Oryzias latipes: one gene and its partners. The main gene of each other region encodes a partner of the protein of the gene in region 3 in a complex. Links are inferred from orthologs where the notes say so. Each region holds a gene or a part of one and is shown on either strand. Other genes may lie near its edges.

The links.
Region 1: the proteins of pex14 (region 3) and pex5 are in contact, whole or in part, in an NMR structure (PDB 4BXU), measured with the Homo sapiens proteins. The link is inferred for Oryzias latipes from reciprocal best matches to the Homo sapiens genes PEX14 and PEX5. Residues at the interface, in NP_004556.1 of Homo sapiens: Thr31, Phe35, Asn38, Arg40, Val41, Ser44, Pro45, Thr48, Arg49, Phe52, Lys55, Lys56; in NP_001124497.1 of Homo sapiens: Glu59, Leu62, Val63, Glu65, Phe66, Leu67, Gln70.
Region 2: the proteins of pex14 (region 3) and pex19 are in contact, whole or in part, in an NMR structure (PDB 2W85), measured with the Homo sapiens proteins. The link is inferred for Oryzias latipes from reciprocal best matches to the Homo sapiens genes PEX14 and PEX19. Residues at the interface, in NP_004556.1 of Homo sapiens: Leu28, Thr31, Ala32, Lys34, Phe35, Asn38, Ser39, Arg40, Val41, Ser44, Thr48, Phe52, Lys56, Leu58; in NP_002848.1 of Homo sapiens: Gln67, Phe70, Phe71, Leu74, Phe75, Ser77.

Annotation. Positions count from the first base shown.
Region 1 is NC_019874.2:20,503,996-20,511,135, reverse strand, and holds part of pex5 (peroxisomal biogenesis factor 5), read right to left. Parts: intron 6,457-7,140; 5' UTR 6,414-6,456; coding exon 6,300-6,413; intron 6,183-6,299; coding exon 6,144-6,182; intron 5,982-6,143; coding exon 5,864-5,981; intron 5,759-5,863; coding exon 5,612-5,758; intron 4,887-5,611; coding exon 4,802-4,886; intron 4,338-4,801; coding exon 4,247-4,337; intron 4,019-4,246; coding exon 3,896-4,018; intron 1,567-3,895; coding exon 1,453-1,566; intron 1,117-1,452; coding exon 1,033-1,116; intron 742-1,032; coding exon 622-741; intron 441-621; coding exon 297-440; intron 68-296; coding exon 1-67.
Region 2 is NC_019875.2:3,243,548-3,251,262, forward strand, and holds the start of pex19 (peroxisomal biogenesis factor 19), read right to left. Parts: upstream 4,839-7,715; 5' UTR 4,811-4,838; coding exon 4,747-4,810; intron 3,674-4,746; coding exon 3,585-3,673; intron 3,482-3,584; coding exon 3,319-3,481; intron 3,236-3,318; coding exon 3,135-3,235; intron 3,072-3,134; coding exon 2,898-3,071; intron 2,818-2,897; coding exon 2,647-2,817; intron 2,086-2,646; coding exon 2,041-2,085; intron 579-2,040; coding exon 492-578; 3' UTR 1-491. UniProt on the Homo sapiens protein: Necessary for early peroxisomal biogenesis. Acts both as a cytosolic chaperone and as an import receptor for peroxisomal membrane proteins (PMPs).
Region 3 is NC_019865.2:9,512,322-9,520,000, forward strand, and holds the start of pex14 (peroxisomal membrane protein PEX14), read left to right. Parts: upstream 1-2,387; 5' UTR 2,388-2,622; coding exon 2,623-2,658; intron 2,659-4,591; coding exon 4,592-4,642; intron 4,643-7,679. Other genes in the region: dffa (DNA fragmentation factor subunit alpha), read right to left, coding at 557-711, 795-953, 2,155-2,248. UniProt on the Homo sapiens protein: Component of the PEX13-PEX14 docking complex, a translocon channel that specifically mediates the import of peroxisomal cargo proteins bound to PEX5 receptor.

The DNA of each region.
Region 1 (7,140 bases), on a different chromosome or scaffold from region 3:
GGAGGGCGCTGATGGCAGCAAACTCTTGCTCGTTTTCTGCTTGACAGGTACCCAGATATTGCCAAGCCTGCAATTTAAACGTAAAAATAGATACACTTTATTTCACACTCACCTTTTAAATGAATAAACCTCGTTAATAAAAAAAAATATTAAAAGAAAAAGAATTACTATTGGTAATTTAATAAAACCATATTTTGCTTTCTGTTAAAAAGAAATGCCACAAACTCAATGTGGACTCTTTCCATTACAAAATGAAAAAAAATAAATGTTTAGCAACTAAAAACAGGAAATCTCACCAGCTGGTTGTCTGGTTCCTTCTGTACCGCACTTTCAAAGAACCGTACGGCTCCAGGAATGTCCCCTGCCTCCATCCTTTTAACCCCCTCTGACAAAGGGTCTGGGTGGGACAGGTAAGGATTGTCTTCTTCAAATTGATAACCCTAAAGTAAACAGAAAAAAAACACAACCAAACTGGTCAAAATGTTTTGATGATGATGAATCCAATGACAAATTATAAACAAAAGAACCTCTCGGGCTTACAGCAGAATGTAATACAACACAAGGTTTCAACATCAGCACCATTTCTCAAAGGATTCGAGCATGGAGGAGGTTGACAGCTACCTTGTCATAAGAAGAGCTGAGTAACTGATCAAAGTCAGACAGCCAGGGATGGCTCTCTGCATCTCTCTTGGCCATCTCCTCCCACTCCTGCTGCAGCTTCTCCCAGAAATCCACATCACTCTGACAAAATGACACATCCATTTTACAGTTTCCCACACAGTTCAAATCATTTCTCTACAGTGCAGACACTATTTGACTTTTGTTATCCACAGAAAAGCGTGGATGGCTTGAACGACCGTGTCAAGAAATAACTTCAACTAAAACAGGATTATTTTGCTTTAATAAGGACATATTAAGATAAAATTCTTGATTGGATTTCTCCTCCTTCCTCTAAATTTATAACAAAAAGAGCTAAATCTCCTGAGTATCGGACAAAAGCTTTGGGTTTGGACTTAAAAAAGTTTGGCTCACCTCCACTGCAGCTTTGGCTTGATGAAAATCCGGCCCTGTTGTTGTGAACTCATCTACCCATGCTTCAGCCGACTCCTCTGAAACCTGTAGAACAATAAAACCATTGGCAGCGGATGACAGAAATCTACTAGCTAAGAAATCTGATGAGAATGGAGATCTGGGATGCTTCAAGCAGAAACATAACAACACAAGTATTGCAAAAGCAGCAGGAATGACAAAAGGGGAAAAAAGCCTTTTTCCTACTCCTTGCTTATTAAAAAAAAAAAGCCTGAAAAGGCTAAATGAATGTCGGCTGGGCTTATCTAAGAGTCTAAATGACAGATAAAAATCTATCAAAAAATACTAGAAGCAAAGCTCTAATAAAAAACAGGCACAACTACCCCTATATCCCTAGTGCTGCCGCCACTGCAAAGGTCCTACCTGCCTGATGACTTTGGCCCACTGCTCTGCTTGTTTAGCTTTAACTTTCTCAATCTTCTGACTCATCTCCTGCCGTTCCAAGGGAAGACTTCCTCCCCCCGTCTCCACCAGGAACTATGACGTGAGGTGGAAGGGTTTGGCGAAGGCACATGGGGCAATGATTTGAGGGTAAGGAAGCGGTGGGTAGGGAAAATTTTTGGGGGTGGTTGGTGGAACAGAGTTGTGTGGTTTTTTTTTTGTCTATGTTACATGACAAATGTAAAACATGAAAGGGGATGGCAAGCCGAAATGAGCAAAGCACATGACAATGTTGCATGATTATGAATTAAACTTAATCTAACTGGGATAGTCTATTTTTCTTTGGGTTGAGAAGGCAACATTTCAGCAAATAAGACGTGCTAAACAGCAGGAAGATAGTCTATCCTGTCAAATCAGCAGATAATGAATGAATAAATGAAACCAGCAGACACTAAAAACAAAGTTGGACACTAAACCCTGCAGTACCATGCTATAATAATGTGATTCACCTTTTGGGGTTTTGCTGATTTTTTAAAAACGTTTTTTCATTTTTACAGCACATTGTGCTCTGCATCCTGATTGGCTGTAGACCACTATCAATCAATCTGCCTCATGCTGCATCTCCTTTACAGAAAGCGTTCAGCTTGACTAGTTTACATCAATCTTTGCTTGCTACCAGCGTAAAATCGGAAGTGCCAGACTTTTTTGTTTTTGTTTTACAAAGGTTTGAATCTTTGAGAGTTAAAACAAGAGAGAATGTGTGAGAATGTTAAAGTTTGTAGTGAGGTTTTACAGCCTTAAACACACAACACAGTGTTAATATTAAAAAGTAAAAATCCTGTAGATTCTGTTTATCGCAGGTTATTTGTAGAAAGTAGCCCCTGCAATAAACGAGGGTACTGTACTGAAAACTACCAGTTTGTCGATAAAACGTTAACTAAAAATGAAGTTACATTGTAACAAATACATTCTCAATGACTTATAAACTTCTTTTTAACAGCTCTTGTCTCACAGCAAGAAGGCTCATGTCTTAAAAGGTCCTGGCTGGGGGACCTGAAACAGAATCAATGGGGGACATTTCTGTGTGGAGTTGGTTTTCCGGCTTCCTCCCCATCCAAAAACATGCTTCATAGGTTAATAGGTTACTCTAAATTGTCCCTAGGTGTGAATGTGAGAGTGCATGGGTGTGTGATTTCTGGCCCTGAGACAGACTGGCGACCTGTTTAAAGTGTACCCTGCCTTTGCCCACGAGTTAGCCGGGATAAGCTCTGGCAGCCCCGTCACCCAGAAAGGGATAAAATGGGTTTAGAAGATGAATGAAAAGTCACCTTTTTATTCTTAAAAAAAGTGTAAGATGCAAAACATGATCGCAAAAATGAAAAATGTCATGTCAGCACCTCTTTTCAATCAGCGTAGCCAGTTGACTTCACTTCTACATTAGCTTTATAATTACTGTATTCATTTTATTTATGTTTTTGTTGGTGGCCAAGGATGTCTGTATTTTTGGGGAAAAAAGTTGACTTCTAAAATGTGACATTCACTTAAAGACCCACTCCAATGGAAATCGTGTTTTTAACATTTTCTAGCGGCATGATTTTTCTATGGAAGGCATATATTAAGTACGTTAAGCTTAAAATTGAATTTGAGGATTTCTTTATTGAAATTGTTGTGAATCAGATGCAGACAAAATAATGCAGTTGGAAGAAGACCTTATTTGTGACGTAGAAAATAACCAAGCTCCCTCCTCTGAGCTCTACATCAACGGGGAGGGGAAGAGGGGGCGGGGCTGCTTTGTGGAAACTCCTGCTGCTCTCCAGAAACTATGTCCTGGAAAACGGCAGGTTTCTTGATTTTGGCTAAAAACAGCATAATCATAGTTAAAAGCTATTGAGAAGACTTTGATCAATAGATGATTGGAAAGGGACTTTTTTATTTCTGAGCTGCAGTAAATTTAAATACTGATGGAACACTGAGCTTTTGCTACCAACAAGCTGAACAGCTCAGATGTTCGCCAACAATGTGTATGGTTAGATTCAAAGCCAAAGCTGCTCTGGCAAAATCTTCAATCACTGTAAAGCTTTTTAAATTCCCTGTATGAAAGTCGTATTGCCTCGAGTCACCATTTTAACACCTTAAACTTATTATTAAACCTAAACTAAATTTCTAAGAGGAAAAGCTAATCGTGCCGAGTTCTTCTTTTCAAAACAAATTGGATCTTCAGCACTGCGCAGCCTTGAGATTCCTACTACTAGGAAACTGGTGGCTGCTTTTGATTACCTTCATGGAAAATGGTGCACTGCATCAGATACTGGGGAGGTGAGTCACACTGCATAGCCTATGCAACATGAACCAATTTCATCCCCCCCCCCAAAACATACAGCTGTTAGTTGTAGCAATACCATCCTCAGAGGCCAGTGACTCCTACCTGGTTGAGGTTGGAGGCCCAGTTCTGAGCCTCCTCAGCCTGAGCTTTATCTGTGAGCTGTTTGTCTGCTCTGCTCTCCACTGTCACACTTCCCTCGCCAATCTGCCTAACGAATTTCAGGAACTACACAACAATGAGGGGAACAATAAAAAAAAGTAAAGAAAAAAAACTTTATATCACAAAATTGTTACTGAGCAGCGGTTTTAATTGGGGATAATTGGTTGTTTTTACATGACTCTTCTAATGGTTATAAAGCCAACACTTAATACTAAAGAACAAGAAACAATAAGGCGACAGATATGAAGGGAAAAAATACATGACTGATTCATGACAGAGCAGGACAGCACTCACCTCTGTGTTTTTTAACTTGGGGTCATCGACCTTTGCAACAAGTTCATTTGCCGTCTGCCTCAGCTCTTCTCCTGACTGATACTCTTTAGTCCTGCCAGACAAATACAAAATATACCACAAGATTGTAATAGAAGCAGAGCAACTGTTCTGTTATTTTCTCTTTATGTAGGTTGGAGATAATACTCAGGTTTGCTGAAGGCTGTGCTTTCAATAGACGTCAGTAGAAGCCAAGGCCGATATTCTATACATTAGCTTTAGAATTCAGACGGCCCTATATGTATGCATGGACAGCTCTGGGTACAATTAGCCTCAATGCATAAAGTTAGAAGAGGATAAAAGTAAATGGGTGGACATAAAACGACACATTCGCTTAAGAAAGCGTTCAAGGTTTAAATCTGCATTCAGATCTGTTATCGTTTGTCTCCCTTGGAGCTTTTCCTCTTTTGTTCCTGTAGGGGTGTCAGGCTGCCACTGCGCACTCACTGATGCTTGCCTGAAGGACTTTTTCCTGCAAACACTTTATTATCCACACGCTTTGCATGGCCCACCTCTCACCATTCACTTTCCTTGTCTCCAAGGTCTCCGAGCCACAGTTTCTCCTCAGACTGCTCTAGATACTCCTCTGCCCAGCGTCCAGGGTCTGGAGAGGAATACATTAAACAGAATAAATTAAAGTCCCCCTATGACAATTAAAAAAATGTTGTGTTTTGATTATAATTCTGAAGTTTTGAATCAAAATCCCACAACCTAAATGTTGTAAAAAGGCATATTTCATGTTTATCTGAAGCCTCCGTTTCCAAAATCTCCTCTACATGGGTGTGGCTGTTGGTGCTGAGCTGAGTAGCCCCACCTTTGATCAAGGGGCCAAACGCGGTTCGGCCACTTTGATTTTTTTCATACATGTGGTCAAAAACAAAATCCAGCCTTGGATGCACTTAAAATATGTGCAGGCAATGCAGCAATGCACCATCTTCTCTTCTCACGCACCTGAGCTTGTGCACGCCTGGCGGGGCAGATCAGGGAGCTTCTGCAATGCGCTTGCACTACTAGGCCATTGTGACATCACAACGCCTCATTCATATAAACAGCGCGTCTTTGCGTCAGTTTAATTGCCACTGATTTAAAAGGAGAAATACTCAGAAATGAAAAAAAGAAATTATTTTTTATTACATTTGTTCTCTTTCATAAGAAAAATGTCAGATATACATAAAAAAACAACAACATGATTTTTAATGGAGGGGGACTTTAAAGACATTTGTAATGTACATATTGTAGCTTATAAACATTAAAATGTGATAACAGTTAGATCCGCTAAATCAGTGAGACAACTGCAGTAAATCATAGACCGGAAGAAACTCCAGTTACCTGCAGCCTCAGCAATAAATTCTCTGGTCCAATCAGAATCTGCTGAATCACCAAGAGAGGTGAGACCCGGTGTGGTGGCAGAATCCGAACTGGAGAGGAACTCGGCAGCCCAATCACCAGAGAGGGCCAGTGCGGCCACATCAGGAGCTAAAACAAGAAGTGAGGATATCATTTTCTGAAATGTGCTGAGATCACATGGCAGAGAGAAAAATTGTATAAAATGTATGAATAAATTGGAAGAATGATGTGCACCTCTCTGTGGAGCTTGTCTGTAGCTTTGCTGATCGATCTGCTGCATTTCCTCTAATAGCTGACCCATGTCAAATGTGGTGGGGGGGCGTGGCGGGGCCTGAAGGAACTCATTCACCAACTGGAGCAAAAACCAAAAAAAAAAAGAAAAAACATTTCACAGCTGTAAGTATTTGAAAGATAGCTTTCATGCATAAAATATAACAATTCTAAAAACTTGAGGTGAATATTTCAAATATTTAAAAGGATATTTTAGTATAAAGGGACAGAAAACTAAACAGACCTCTTGTTCGGTTGCAATTTCAATAGGAGTTGGTGGAATCTGAGAAAAAGCGGTAAAGAAAACAGAACCGGTTCATTAAATGCATTTTATTCTGCTGTAATGGAATAAAAAAAACAGCTAATGTTACATTAGTTAGTAATGCCCAACATTACTCACTGCAGGGCTGGTGCGGTGCTGCCATGTCCCCTCTTCTTTGGTCATGTGACTGGCCAACTTCATGAGGGGATTGGCTCCACCACATTCGGCCTCCACCAATTCTCGCATCGCCATGGCAACGGAAGGAAGAGGCAAACCCCACTAGAGTACGTAAAAGCTAAAAAAAATAAATAAATAAGGATTGCGAAATACATGCATTTCTGTTTCACAACAAAAAATGAAAGCAACAGATTAAATAGATTTATGAACAAAGGACTGTTGTGCAAATGACAATAAAATGAATTAAAAATGACTGATTACTTTAACTTAGACTTTGACCAAAAAATGAAAAGGACTGGAAACAACTTTTATTGGCAAACTGAAACTCTAAATACTGCCAAAAACTTACCAAGACACTTTTTCACAAATATATTTATTTATGATTAAGATTAAGAATTAAATTATTTATTAGTGTCCGTGAACGTAATCATATTTGAATGAATAACTATCCTATGTTTGAAATATCTTTGTATAGATTTACATTTCTGTTGTTCGTCTTGTTTTTGCATTCTTTTTGCTCTGATTGCTTGAAATAAACCATTTCCAAATCCAAATCCAAATATTTAGAGCTATGACATATTGTATCCCAAACTATTCGTATCTGAAATCTGAACAAAAAAAATCAAATGTGTATTTTGTCACCAAACATAGTAAGATATCTGAGAGGAAATGCAGCATTATTAATATTCTTTAAAATCTGAGCTTCAAAGTATTATCTTGAATCACTTCCTGGTTTCTGTCAAGTGTTTTATTATAAATTAAACCTGCCAGTTGCTGCCATCTTACGAATACAATCACAAAC
Region 2 (7,715 bases), on a different chromosome or scaffold from region 3:
ATTGGAAAAAAAAAAAAGTTACAGCAAATTGACTTTTAAAGACTAACTGTGAGCTGCTTAGCTGAAAGAGCAGATTATTCAATGTTTCAGAGGCTAAAATAATCAGGGTTATTGTTAAAAGGCACTGTTCAAACCTGTGAAGTAGACTAAACGCCATGTAAAAACAACACAAAGAGCGGCAGTGGTCATTTCTTCTTATTGGAGAGATTCTGCTAAAATAACTCTGAAGGAGGCGTGGCTTCTGACGACAAACTACTGTAGAAATCTTTACATTTTCTGTGTTCACATTTTGATTTTTACAGAGAATGTGTGTTGGCATTTAGTGTTGATTTCAGCAGCTCCTCTGCTTGTTTTCACACCCATCTGAAAGGTCAACAGTGTTGACTGTCAGGTCACACCGCTGCCTGACCTCTGGCTCTCCGTCTGTTGTTCTCCGACTCACACAGAGGAACCATTCGGCACCAAATCTCCCGACGAACCGCTCCACCCCCTCACATGATGGAGCACTGATCCGGGGCCCCGGCTCCAAGGCCTCCAGGGAGGTTCAGGGACTCCATGTCAAAGTTTAAGCCTGGAGGCTAAACGGTGAAAAACAAAGGAAAGTTGGAGCAAAGCAGAAACTATTTTGGGAGACATTTCTTTTAAGTCATTGAAAATTTGAACTAAAATTCTATCATTTGCATCCTCTGGAAGTGTAGCCCCCAGTCTTTGGGCTGAAGACTGGTACCGGTCTGTGAGACGGTAGGTACAAAAAAAGAAAAAAAAAAATCTAAATTTCTTCCATTTTATTTATAGTCTGATTTTGACTGAAGTTTTATTTTGGGAAACTACTGGATTCTCTCCACATCCGACTCATTCTTGATGCACGTCAGGTCGTTTGGTTGCACTTTTGAAAATCCACCCACTGCTTTCTTAAAACGGCTGAAACAACTACAATGAAAACCCAGAAGGTAGCAAATTCAGCAAAAAAATTTTGGAAAGTTTCTGAAGTTGGCATCTTTCCCTTTGACAGTTATTGGTTAGGGGGAAATCTGTATCACAGTTTATTGGTTCCTCCAAGAAATCTAGGGCAAAAATGAATTTGAAAGCAGCTGCAGATATTTTACAGAGGATGAAGGTAAACTTTACCCTCAAAAGTTAAGGGAAACTGGAAGCTAAAATAAAATAAAATAAAATCAGACGTCTACTTCAGCCTCGTACTGACAGGTCCATGAAAATATTGTCCAGCATTAACTGTCTGTGGCCTGAAAAAAGGTTGGGGACCTGTGCGCTAAAATATGCATAAAATAAGAGTCCATCAAAATTCTTTAAAACGTGTGGAGTCAGCAAGACAAGAAAGACAAATGAGGGAACATGCAATAAAAATTACCCAAGGTGCACCTGTGCATAAGGTGAGGCGCCGCAAGTTTTAGCACCTATGATCAAACTTCAGTTTATTCTTTAAACTTTCAGACTGAAATAACTTGTCCTTCCTCACAACACGTGTGCTACTGTGGCTCCTTCTGCAGCAGACAGGGACCAGACTTAACGTTCTAGTCTGTCAGTGTTTTAATTTGAAGCAAAAGAACATTTGATTTAACAATGTGACACATTTTAGTGCCATCCATATTGGATTGTTTGGTCTGTGATCAGGCTGGCTTGACATCCTCATCTTGGAGCTTAAGATCCAGCAAAAACATTGGGAGGTTTTGGTAAAATGAGCCTCACAAAAATAGACTATTTGAGCTAATTTGGAAAAATAAATAAATGTATAAGAAATGAATAGTCTTGATCATTTTGGGGACAGTTTGGAGGCTGTTGTGTTCATTAGCAAGCATCTAAAGTCAGATGAAAATGACACACACACACACTCTCATCTATTTAAGTGGCACACTTGGTGGCTGACTAAAACCTTTTTTCTCCCACTGTTCATCAAAGAGCCTCTGCTATTAACAGACACCAGTAAGCATGTTTGAGATACTGCGTGAAATCAGTATTTATAAGAAAATTTAAAAAAAAGTATATATAAAAAAAGAAATGCAAGAAACAAGCCAAACTTACCACATCTCCTGCCAATTCCTTGGGTGGCTGGCCTAGATCCTGCAGCTATAAGGAGATAATTAAACACAAAACAGTTGAGTTCCTGTCCAAAAAACCAAAAACCTTGCATGTTTGAACTAATAAACACAACATTTTTTGTCCATGGATATGCTTAAAGGCGCATTTTTAATAAGCTTACATTAATAACTTAATTTATAGTATAAATTATAATATAATTATAATGTAGTTATTATCTCTGTAAGAAGATAATAACTGGGAAATTTGTGTTTGAAGGGTATTTTTTGAGCTTACAATATCTAAACTTTTAAATGCTGCTTGTTAGCCGTAACGGCAATAACAGTGTGTGTTCAGTGACCTTTTTAAAATCAGTTTTACAGGGAAACAGTTTAGCCATCAACAGTCCCTAAAGATATTAAAAGAGCTTTGCAACCATCACATCCATAAATGATGGACATCCTGCAGCTGGATCGTCGAAAAAGTGATGTGTTGTGACTTTTACTATGATTCAGAATAATGTGGATGATGTCAAAACAGAAAACATAAAAAGCAAATTTAAATAAACAAATCAATTGTAAATATTGTCCCAAAAGAAAAAAGCTGCATCACCTGCTGCATCCGGTCCATGATGCTCTCAAAAGTTCTCTCTTTGTTTTCTACTCCCTGTTCCTCGGCCTCAAAGAGCTTGCAGATATCTCCCATGACTTTGGATTGCTGTTCGTAGCGGCGGTAGTCCTCTGCACTTAAGCTGGGCTTGTTTGCTTGCAGCCACTCTGGGTACTGTGAAGGTGAGACGTCAACGGTCAAAGCTGGAAGAGTGGATTCAGAGTCTGATGGGTTCAGAGGAAACATCTGCAGACCTTAGTGGTGATTTCTTTGAGAGAAGGATACAGCACTTCTTTAGAGAGCAGGTTCTGCATGATGGACTGCATGACGGGGAGGATGTTCCCATCGTCTCCACCCCCTTCCCCACCCTCATCCAACCCAAGACCCTCAAGAGCCTTAACCAGGTCATCTCCAGCTAGACCTGAAGACTGGGTAAAACAAAACAATTGTCATTATTTTCCTTCAAAAGCTTTACACCAATATTCCTTTACGTCTAAGGAGCCAACTTGGAGGTTGTCTGCATTCTTCGCCAGGCCACGGAGGGTATCCTTCAGACAGGAAGTGAACTCCTGCTGGGAAGCTGTGTCTGTCCCTGTTTGGAGCAAACACGCAACTTAGACTGCAAGACCGACACATTCAGTATAACAAAGATTCACAACAAATAACTCCTCTTACCGACTTTGCCTGCTGCCTCTGACAGTTTCTGGAAGTGCTGCAGCAGTTCTGGCTCCTCCTGGGCCAGCTCGGACATGGCCTTCTCCCACTCGTCCCTGGCCTGGGTCGCCATGTCCCCCTCAAAGAGACTCTCAAAGAGTTTGCAGTCCTCAAGCAGGGGGGGCTACAGGCAGAAATGGAAGACTTGTGAAGATCGTACTATTGATGGGGTCTTTCAGTCCAAGCAGAAGGCAGCTGAATCCTAATGAACAGAAGCAGACACAGACCTTCTCTGCACCACTGCTGGCTGAGGAAGAGGCTGCTGCAGCTTCAGGGGCCGGAGGAGAGGAGGCTTTGTCAAAGTCATCCAAAGCGCCTAAAGGAAAAAGACACAGCAGTAGGCATTTATTATCCAAGCAATATATGAAATATTTGATCGATTGCCTTAAAAAAAAAAGCAATACTTTCAGCTCAGTAATTGTTTAGTTTCTGTTTGGATGGTCAGTCTGTTTTACTTTTGATCAGATAATAAACATAAAATGCAGCAGCAGTGAAGAGGTCAAGCTGACAAAATGATAAGTAAGTAGACGCATCTCAATATTTGGTCCATGAATCGATGCATAAAAGGTTCAACTAACTTTGTGGCGACAGGATAAAGTCCAATTCTTTTGACTAAACAAATACAATCTGAATATTTATTATTCATTCAATGAATATTTAAACCTGCATTGTAGGCTGCTTCGTTTCTTAAATAAAAAGGTGTCATATTAATTTATTCATGTATTGTTTTATGTGATGTGAGAAAAATGGTTATCAGAAGAATTTATAACTTCCTGAACAGTTTAACACATTTTTACCCACACTTGTTTGTATCTGTGGTTTTTCAACCAATTCTACTGCGATTCTCTGTGCTTGATCCCTTTTTGATGAACATCTGTATCTTTCTTTTACATCCCTAGTATAAGTTAAGATATCTATCTATCTTATTTGTCAATAATTTCTATTTTAAAACTAGACCTGAACAATAACATTTAAGAATACAGCAGAAGACAAAACTATAAAAGTAACACAAAGCAACCACAGATGACATATTAGAAGTATTTATAAATCAACAAGGAAAAAAACAACAATAAAATGTTCCTGAAAATTTTGACAATATTGTAATATTGAAAAAATAACAACACCTCTTTAACATTTTCTATAAACTATATCTCTATAATCCACTTTTTTTTAAACAATTAATATCCAAAAACATTTGAAAACGGCTTAAACTGGCTTTATTTTGAAGCCCGTGCGAGCTGTCAGTCAGCGATACTTTGGTAACTGTCACTGCTACCGAGCACCTGAAGCTTATACACGGTCATCAGAAGTGTCCAAGCAGCGAAATCTTCCTAGCAACAGACAGACACGTAAAAGGGTGAACCTAATATTCCTTCCTGACGAACTTACTGTCCAGTAACTCGTCCAGTTCTGCGTCTACTCCACCGGACACCTCTTCTCCTCCGGACGCCATAATGCTAAGACAGCTTTGTCTCACAAAATTGACGTTCTGGCTATAAAAAACGTCGCACATACTCTACGTCACAAGCCCATACCGAAATCTGGCACCACCTGGTGGCGTGAGTAGGCATAACAGCTTTTCTCTGCGGATCACATGCAGGAGGATCAACATGTGACGCTTTGTCCCTCATTTTCGTGACCACCGACCGTTTCATCAACTTAAAAACGTAACAATCAAAAGTTCAGTGGCACAGTTTTATGCTCTGCAACTTAAGTGAGTCTTTTTCGGAAATATTTGTCTTCAAAATGTGCTTGAAGTAAAAAAAATATATATCTATACACCTTTTTAAAAAAGAGATTTTAATGTAATCTGTATATTAAGTTCTTTTTAGCATTTAGCAATAAATGGGTTTATTGGCACTCTCAAAATTTTAAATTAGCATAGAAAACTGTCTTATTTTTAAACTATTGCTGTCATGAAACTACAAAGAGGCTTTGGGAGCTTGACCACTCCTCCAAGATGCAAACGTCAGATAAATATTGGCAAAATGATGCTTAAAGGTTTAATCTACCGTTAGAACTGTTTTTTTATTTAATAAATTTAAATCATATATTCTTATCTTCAGCTGTCCTACAGTTCTTAAACGTATATAGTTGCAAGTAAAACTGCAACAGCAGCAAGAGGACCTCAGTTGATACAGGATGTATTTTATTTTGAAAAGAACTTGCTTTTCTGCTGTCAAAAGTTATCTTTAGAAAAATATAGGACTGGTATGATTCTGTCAATATTAATACCTGAAACATTATATAAATAATGTTAAAATACATTTGATCAATGAATGGTTTAATAGTCACACAGTAGTTATCTAAACATTAAAGTGGGACGTTACGGCTCCTGCTTGGTTTTGGACATTAAAGCATTAAAGGGTGCAGACAGGTGTGATTCCAAACACTGCAACATGGTTTGGCAGCACAACAGTTGGAAGTCAGTCTGCAGCACACGAACATTCCAATCAGTAGTAGTGAAAAGTGTCATGCTGATCATGAGGCACCTATCTGATGCTTGGAGCAGACACTGACCCCTGTAGGAGAGTCCATGCTCTCAGCTGTCTGGCAGCACCGGGAGGCACCAAAAAAAAAAAAAGATGCGATAGAAGATTTTTCTTATAGGTACAGAAGATTTGCCACATTTTTTGTGGGTACAACCAGAGCATGGCGTTTAAAACCACCATTTAACTATTATGCCTGAGAAGAGTTGTTGCACCAAAGTATGAATCTCCTAAATACAATTTTTAACATTTTGTTTTGAGTCAAGTTCATTATTCAGTATTAAACCTTTTTTTTTCTCCTTTCAAAGATTACATAATAATAATAAATAAAGGAAAGAATTAATAAGTTTATTTAAAAAGTACATTTAACATTTGTTGCTAAAGTTCACCACTGAAATAAAAACATTTGGCTTTTGGATTGTAAAGCCTTTTCTTTTTCTTATTAAAAATACTAAAAAGGCTGTGACAGTTACCACACTGACACACTCTTGAACATCTGGACACAAATGCACATCGCTTTGAATTATAAATCTTTTTTTTTTTGTTGAATTTACTCCAAAGTTGAAAGGAAAGTAATTGATAAACGTTTTTTTAAATTATTACTAACATTAAGCCGAGCGGCCAATGAAAGTTCTGGTGTGTTCTCACAGGTTCATTTGTCTTCCTTGTGGATTCATTAACATTGTTACCTTTAAAATATATGTGATAAGTAATTGCATTTTATTATTTTGGCAAACATTATTCAAATCAACGTTGCCACACCTGGCACACCACTTTTGTCACATGAACTTTTTGTGTTTCCCCCTCTTTCAGAAAATGAAACTCTTTCCTTTTGCAGTTCTTTTATTTTTTGGGATCTTTAGCAGCATTTCTAGTGGGATGCAGATCTGTGAGCTGATGAAGGAAAATCTGTCAGTCTGATGAGGCAAACACTTCAAACAGAACATTTCTCACTGCATTCAGTTCTCTGTATCGCACACAGTCTGCAGTTTCTGCAGTATCAAGAAAAGAGGAGAAACTCCCTCATGCTGGGTGTGGGCAGCAGAGGTCCAGCCTGGAACACAATGTGGGCGGAGCTTAGTCACACATAAAGAATGGTGCAGATACTTGAGGCCTAATTTGGTTTTCTGGGCGGGGCTCTTCTCCTTGGGACCACTCTAGAGCAGCCAAGGGGGTGAGGATTTACAGTCTGTGCCTAACTTCCACTGCACATCTTGTAGGAGAGAGAACAGCTGCAGCCGAGTTTCAGAAAGGTAAGGAGGCGTCAGGGTTGGAGAGAAATGCAAAGGAAGGAATTTCTGTTTTCATTTGGAACCACATGTCTGAATAATTGTATGTTTTATGATCATTTTTTACCTTTTGAAATGTTTTGCGTGCCTGACGAGTGGACTAAAAGGGTTGCCGCATCGACAGAGATCAGCATTGAAAACATCTTAACCCTTGTACTATCCTATGGGGGCAAGATGACCATTGACGTGTTCTCCCTACCATGACAAAGGTGGATAAAGGTGGAAAGATTTCATGTAATCCATGGACACCAGTGAAGATCACAAATCATTGAAGAAAAAAGGTTCAGCGCACTGTCTAGTGGGTCTAGATGACCCAACTCCCAATGTTAAAGTGCCTAGGATAGCACAAGGGTTAAGCACACGCATGTGGATCTGTCACGAAGTTCTGTTTTTAGTTTTGAGTCTTTTGTGGCGGCGCAGGGCGTGGCAGGCGGCACACCCACCTTCACCATCAATGATTGAAGCTCTACACGAGTTTTTACAGTGTGACACTCATGGCACATTTAGGAGGAGGATTAACTCTCTTTTAGCCTGGATTTGTACCAAAACCTGCCCGGAGGGTTCTGGCTCTGATGCAAAT
Region 3 (7,679 bases):
AAATGTAGAATATTCTACAATTGTGGCTTGCTTGTGGGAAGCAGAAGCACATAATTGTGTTGTAAAGCTGACATTTTGGAATTCAAAAGTCTGTGGTTAGAAAGATTATTTCTGATTATTTAAGGAGTTTCTTCGCCTCACACGTGTATATGTCTATGCATATTTACCTAAATGTTAAGTACCAGGAAGCGGTGTGCAGAAGACTAAATTGTTTATTTGAATGGGGAGACAGATATAAAGTCCAAAAAAGTTATGGAATTTTGAGTTCTTCAAATTGACTTTGACTAAAACAGAAGACTTTTGGTGCTAAAGCTTAGAAGCATCTAACACCAAAGTGGAGTTTCTTGGCCATAATGACCAATAGTAAGTTTACGGTGGCATAGAAAATATGGTTTTATTTTGTTTTGCAAGTCAGAGAACTTTCAAACCTTATGGTCACTGACAATATTCCAAAAATCTTTATGGAAACCGCTAAACTGTTATTTTTAAGTTTTATTTTCTCATATACCAGGCAGTTTTGTGCTGTTCTATCACTGAAATAAGAACAAGGTAGGACCTGTAAATCGGCCTCCGACATAAGAATGATGCTGGTGAGGTCTTGTTTTAGCTGCTGAGCCAGGTCCAACCAGGGTGCTAAGCTACTGCCGGTGTCAACAGTGTCCATCTCCAGCATAACCGATTCCCTCTGCATCCAAGCGGTGCCACCATCGACTAAAACAAAGAGTACCAAAGCACAACATGTAGAAATCCTGCAGACGGATAATGATCATCAATATGGACTCTGAGATTCTTACTCTTGCGAGCTGGAGACCATGTTTCCTTGTCATGCAATAACATAAACTTTGTATTTGAGGGCAAACACAAGAAGTAGGTTTGATCTTCTACTATTGTCCCGTCATTCTCCAGGACCACTTTGACTGGGTCACCGGGGCTGAAGCCAAGATACTCGGATCCTGGAGCCGGAAGAGAGGACAGGTTACCAACTTAACATGCATCAAGTGAACATACTTCATCCTAAGGTCCACAGAAAAGTCTGACACCTATGGGAAATACCAATGATAAAAACACTACAGTAAGGACAGGCATGTCCAAAGTCCGGCCCGTGGGTCAAATGCAACCAATTTCCACCAGCCGGCAACCTCAATAATATGCGGCCCACAGCACTTTCTAAGAACTACAGTTTCTTGATTGTGATTGGCTAGATTGCGTTATAAACCGTGGACCTATGCAACAACCTGTAGACATGAAGAGATTTATTTGTTTCTGTCATCAAAACCACTTCTGACTAACATAATATTTGTGTTATTTCATTGTTCAATGATAGAAACTGACAAGTTTACAGTTAGCCTTTAACAGTGAATAATTGGATCAAACTGGTTTTTATAGGCCAATTGGATGGCCCTCACACATTTTCACCTCACCAAATCTGGCCCTCTTTGAAAAAGTTTTTGTTCCAGTATAGCTGGAAAAAATAAAAACGTTTTCACTGTTATTAAAAATACATATTGTTAAATAATTCTCAAACAGCTTTCATAACAAATCTGCAAAACACCTTTAATAAGCATTCCGATTAAAAGGAATATATCACAATTATGGAACATGTATAAGTGCACAAAAGAAATATTTAATAATAATAATAATTTTAAAAATGCATAAACTATAATTGCTGGTTTTAGTTGTTGTTGTTGTTGTTTGTGTGTGTGTGTGTGTGTGTGGGGGGGGGGGGGGGGGGTTGTGAAACATTGTTTTGATTCCAGATAATGAATATTTAAAGTATATTCTTGCAAAAAGCAGATCAGGGAAACGCCTGGTGACTCGCATCTCAGGAATGAACAGCAGCAGGCTTTTCATGTTAGCCATGTAGGGGTTAACATTGAACAGATAATATAATTATAGTCAAATACATTCATAAGCATTAAGAATAGCCTAGTATTATCACCGTTGTTTTGCGGCTTAAGCAGTTTTAAATGTGACAGTCAGTGCAGCGGTTGGAGATTTTCTCTCAATTTAGGCGCGAAGCAGATAAATAAAAATAAATGCTTAAAATCTGCGACTGCACGAATACATGAACGGCTTCTTATTTTGATTAAAAGCATATAATGTCAGATAATCTCATACTAGTTCCCACAGTCCTCCTTCTCGGTCCTCCCTTACCTTTTTTCTTCAAGTCATCTAAAGAAGGTGCAGACACTCCGTAGGATTTTTGCCGGGTGAAATTGCACACTTTACACGCCTTTCCATCAGTCATTCTTAAATTTATTCTGAAAGGATAATATTATTCGGTAAAGGAATCTACAGAGAATGGGAAAACCCGCTTTGAGCTCTCAGCCACCTTTACTTCTTCATACACGGAAATAACCGCCGAAGGGCGCTATGAATTGTGGGAATTGTTGTTTATTGTTTGAGAAATGGGGAAAGGTTTAGTCTACCTATCTCCACTCTGTTTCGTAATCCGCTCAACGTATTTCGCAACTGAGAGGGGAAAAATACATCACTGTACTTTGTTCCGATGAAAGTGCATCCCAACTAAACTAAATAAAACGCTTTAAAGAACTTTGATGTTTCGAATGGACGGAACAGGAAAAGCAATCGAGCGTGGATATCCCAGAGAACTATAGGAAGATGGCATCCATCGACCAAGCTGACACGCCAACACAGGTCTCTATACACCAAGCCAGTTAGCATTTGACGTCCGAAAACATTTATGCACCATTTGTTTGAGTTGCTATTTTGTGGCTGGTTTCCGTACACCTTTTAAGCAAACGTTTCACAGCCGAAGAGAGGTAGCTTGTTTGCTAGTTAGCATGCTAACTGGTTGTGTTATTTTAAAGTGGTCTTCGACACATGGGAGGTCAAAGGCATTCTGGGGTTCAGCAACAATTATGCATTTAATAACTGACCACGTGCTACAGCTTTCTATATGGCGGTGAGGGTTTGGGTCTGTCAAAGTCATGGATTATAATTGTTGACACAGGGAAAGGTCACAAAAAAAAAAAAAACCTCGGGATTTTATATTCGACATTTAATGTTCCACGAACATGGATCAAAAATAATTTACTGCAGTTACAATGCTTTATACGGCTAAGCTTCACCATATCTGAAATGCTACCTTTATGTTTTCACAAATTCAGTAATCATGGTGCTCTCCAACTCACTTTAACGTAAAAGTCGATCCCAGAGCAGTCTTAAAAGTTTCCAAAAGTCACCACACTTGTCTGGGTAAAAAATATTCGCACATTCTATCATTGCACTTTAAATTTCACAGTAGTCTTCTATATTAAGTCATTAAACACCAAACAGTGTCATTGGTTCCCTCTAATGCACATTACTATGATTTGGAGCTTTTCAGTGTCCAGGTCCTGTAATAAGCCCAAAATAACTGATAAAGATGTTTTTGTCACATTCTACCTTGTCCTTTTTTATTTATTTTTTTACTTGGAGGGCACAGTATTATTGTGTTTACACCCTATTTGTATACTTTATCTTGTTATCTTCAACCTAAAATGGTCTGTTTGCCCTGAGAAATATGATAAGAAAAACTCCAAACCTTTAACTTTGCCATGAGGATTCATCAAGAGGGGTTGGAAAGCCAGTAACTATTGAAAAAAAAACTGCTTTTTTAGTTAAATTATTAGTAACTGTTGTTGAAATTATGGAATATTTCCTGTATTTTTGATGTCTTCTATTCAGACCTAAACTTTCACTGGTATAATTTTTAAGGATCAAACTCTAGCTTAAATTTGATATGATTAAAAAAAAAAAGAACCCCTTAAATTATGTATTTACTTTTGGGGTCCTTTTTAGGTAAAAGTCTACTGAATGCATTTAGCTGATTGCAGATGGAAACATTTAAAGACGTGATGATTTTTGGAACTGAAGAGAATGCATTTATCCCTTGTGCTATCCTAGGCACTTTAACATTGGGAGTTGGGTCATCTAGACCCCACAAGTCAGTGCACTAAACCTTTTTTCTTCAATGATTTGTGATTTTCACTGGTGTCCATGGATTCCATGAAATCCTCTTCACCTTTATCCACCTTTGTCATGGTAGGGAGAACACATCAATGTAAGGATGGGGTCATCTGGACCCCATAGGATAGCACAAGGGTTATATGTGTAATTACTTCTGCATAAACATTTAAAAACCCATGCGACATTGATCTGCTTTAGTATGAGGCTAAAGAACAAAACTTAGTCTTCCCGAACTGCCGTAAACTTATATTTTTTCCCTCATTTCATTGTTGGATTTTAACAATATTTAATTAATAACTTTATTTAGATAGCACTTTTCATCAACACACGTGCCCGAAAAAAAAAGATGTATATTTGTTATAACAACAAAAAGTCAAAAGACCAACATAAAAAGGAAGGACATAGAATATACATTAAATGCAAGAAAAATTATTACAGCCAGTTTTTAAAATGTATATTATTTTTTATATAAATAGCTAACCATATATAAAGTGGTTGTTGGGGGTCCTATCAATTGAAAAGTAGATATTTCAGTTTCTTGGTTACTTTCTAATAAATAAGGTGACAGTACTCTTGTTATCCACTAGATGGCTCTCTAACACAAGTGTTTGTCTTACAGGCTGGTCCTCCACGTGGTGAAGATGGAGCAGTTCGCCCCAGAGAAGCTTTGGTAAGAAGTTTAGGAAAAACTATTTGACAAATGAGACAGAGACAGTTATAGCATGCGTGCTTAATTGAAATACAAGTTTGGCTGCTGGTTTTTGCCTGTTTATTGTGCTTACAAAGATATTTATTGTATTTCTGAGAATTTAAGTTTATTTAAATCAAAAATTATTTATACATAAATAGCAATCTTGGGAAAAAATTCTGCATTAGTGTTTATTCTTTTATTAAATTGTTGAGTTAAATTTTTAGAATTGTTTCGAGAATGAAACATTTTTAAAAATTTAATCAAAGACTTTTAACCATCAGATTTTTATTGTAAAATCCTATTGTTTTATTGAATTATAGCACAAAATTACTTTATTCTCCTTAATTTTAAATAATAAAGATCCAATCTCCTCTGTCTGAAAATCAGCTATTTAGTATTGATCATTTATAGCAAAAAAGTTATCTTTGTTTGGCTTTAGGGGTGGTTTGCTGTGGTTTATTTATAACAAATTCATGCATTTATTGTTCATAGACTTGCTTAAAGCTCAGAAACTCTTAGAGCAGTCTCTTTTCTTAGTTTGGTGTGTTTCTTGTCTTTACAAGAAGTCCTAGAAACCAAAGAAATGCTGTGAATCAAAATGATTGGGTTTTACATGAAGAGCTTCATAAACCGTGTCATTGAGGTACAGTGAGCTGTGTTCACGTTGACCTGAGCGGCTGCAGCACACGGTAGTTTCCTAAGGCCGTAGATTATGACTTTAAGAAAAATGGCGCAGGGAGACATGCCACTAACCAGTTGCCTCTTACTTGATGACCTCCTCTGTAAGCTGACTAAGCAGTTTAATTTGTGAATACCAGGAAAATATACGATTTAAGTGCAGTGAAGATCAGTCTTATTATTTGAAATAACATGTAAGGGAGGCCTAGCGTTGGTCATTAAAGGGTTTGAGCATTCATCCCAGCTACGTTCATTGTCCTTGTATGTGCACAGGTTGGAGTAGCGCTGTATTGTTCAGCCTGCATGTCTCAATGTCATTCACTACCATTCACTCTTCATCTTCCCCCCATCATCCCTTCATGCCAAGGCTAATTTAATCCTGGCTTTATTGATTGTGGGAGCATTCTCCCAGGCTTTCTTTCAATTTACTTCAATTTCGTCATCCCAGCGCACTTGAAGACGGCCTCAAAAAAAGGAAGAAATTCTTGTTACGAGGGTCTTGATTCGAGACCGCTTGACAAGTCCCAGCACCACCCTCACTTCCATCCCCTTCTTCTCTCCTCTCTTTTTGATGAGCTGCTCTTTCCCAGTTAAGTGGATTATTACAGTAGGGATAATTCTTGTCACATGGCATTATTTGGATGAGGTGAATAATTGAAATTTGTGTCTGAAAGGATTTTATCTGGATGAGAGAAGCAGGAGTGCTGGGAGGGTCGTGAGGGACAATGGAGTATGCGCTCGCGCACGCACGCACATATTTGTGTAGTGTCTACGCGCACACGGCTGTGTCAGACAAACCAGCGTGTCAGACTGGGGGACACCAGTCATGCTAACAGGTTGTGACTCACCTCGCCCAGATTAGCCGGCCATGGCACACTGCATGTCATGAACTCTCCTTTGTGGCAGGAAGGTCCGGCTCATTGTCCACAGCAGCGCAAGAGGCCCGCTGTGGACCTGCAGTGTGTGTTCTGCAGCCACCAGTGCTGTGTTTACACCACCGTGTCTTCCCTCCATCCACACTGATCAGTCCGTTTTGAATCCACTCAAACATCGAGCAGACCTGCTTGTCGTGCCTCACTTGAATATTTTTGCAGACTAGTAACTAGAAGAACTTGTAAGTAAACAACTTAAAAATGAGTTCTGGTTTGTAACTCGATGAAGAATTTTTTCTTTCATTGAAATTAAACAGTTCTTACTAATGTAGTAATTATTAGGGATGCCACAATTTTTCCAGCATTAAACCAAATTGTGGGGAATCTTTGCATCTCTACTGCACAGCGGTACGATGAAAGTCTCCAACAATTGGGTTAGATTATAGAAGGATTTATTATTTATTGTTACATTACATCACACCAGGCTTAGAAAGAACCACCTGAAATGTGTTATTTCATTGTCCTTCTTATTAGCAAATTAAAAAGGACTTTTCTACAAGCCGTGATCCAAAAATTGAGGTTTGAACGGAATTGTGGGAAAAGTGAATCGCTGTATTCCTATTCATTATTGACCAAAAATTGTCTTAATTTGTTGTTTTTGAAGTGTAACCCTTTTTAACTTTTTTAAAAGTTTCTATAATTTTAAAATAAAACTGGATCTGATTTCTGCTCAGTGACTTTTACCCACATAATAGCACTTTTTCTTACATTTTGATTTTCTAAATCTGTTGGTCAATTTTTTTCCTAAATAGTTTGAATTTCTTCCATATGTATTTTTCTCCACTAACATTTGAAAACAGTTTTTCCTCAGAGCTGCACTGAAAAACAGTTTAAAACTCCAGCTTAGTCTTTTTAGAAGGGCTTAATACTCAGTAGTTGGTGAAGTATTTTTTATATATGTTATATTTTATTTAATATTTTTTTCTGCCTTTCATGTATTTTATTGAATTTTGTTATCTAATGTTGCTATTTTAGTTTCTTGTTCTTAATTTTCTTGAAAAATTGGATTTTCTCTTTTCATCTTTTTATTGCACTGTAGTGTAAAGCACTTTGGTTCCGGTGGCAAATAAAAATGCCATATAAGTCAAGATCATTCATTCATTCCTAAAGAGTAGTGAAAAGGCTAAAGTTATTGACTTAGTTACTAGAGGACTATTGCCGGCTGATTTTAACCCGAACAAAACTGTGTACATTAATTTCAATATGTCGCGTGTCAAGGAGTCTGTGCCTTCACCAGGGAAGTCTCACATGTCCCAGGAATGGATGGACCAAAGACCAAGTTTCTAGTATCCTTTTATTTTATTTTTTTTAGGACTTTTTTACCCCCTAAATTCTCAGTAATTTAGGAGCATGTTTTTAGGAACTTCCTATGGTTTTCTTTTTCATTTTGTTACACTTACCACAGT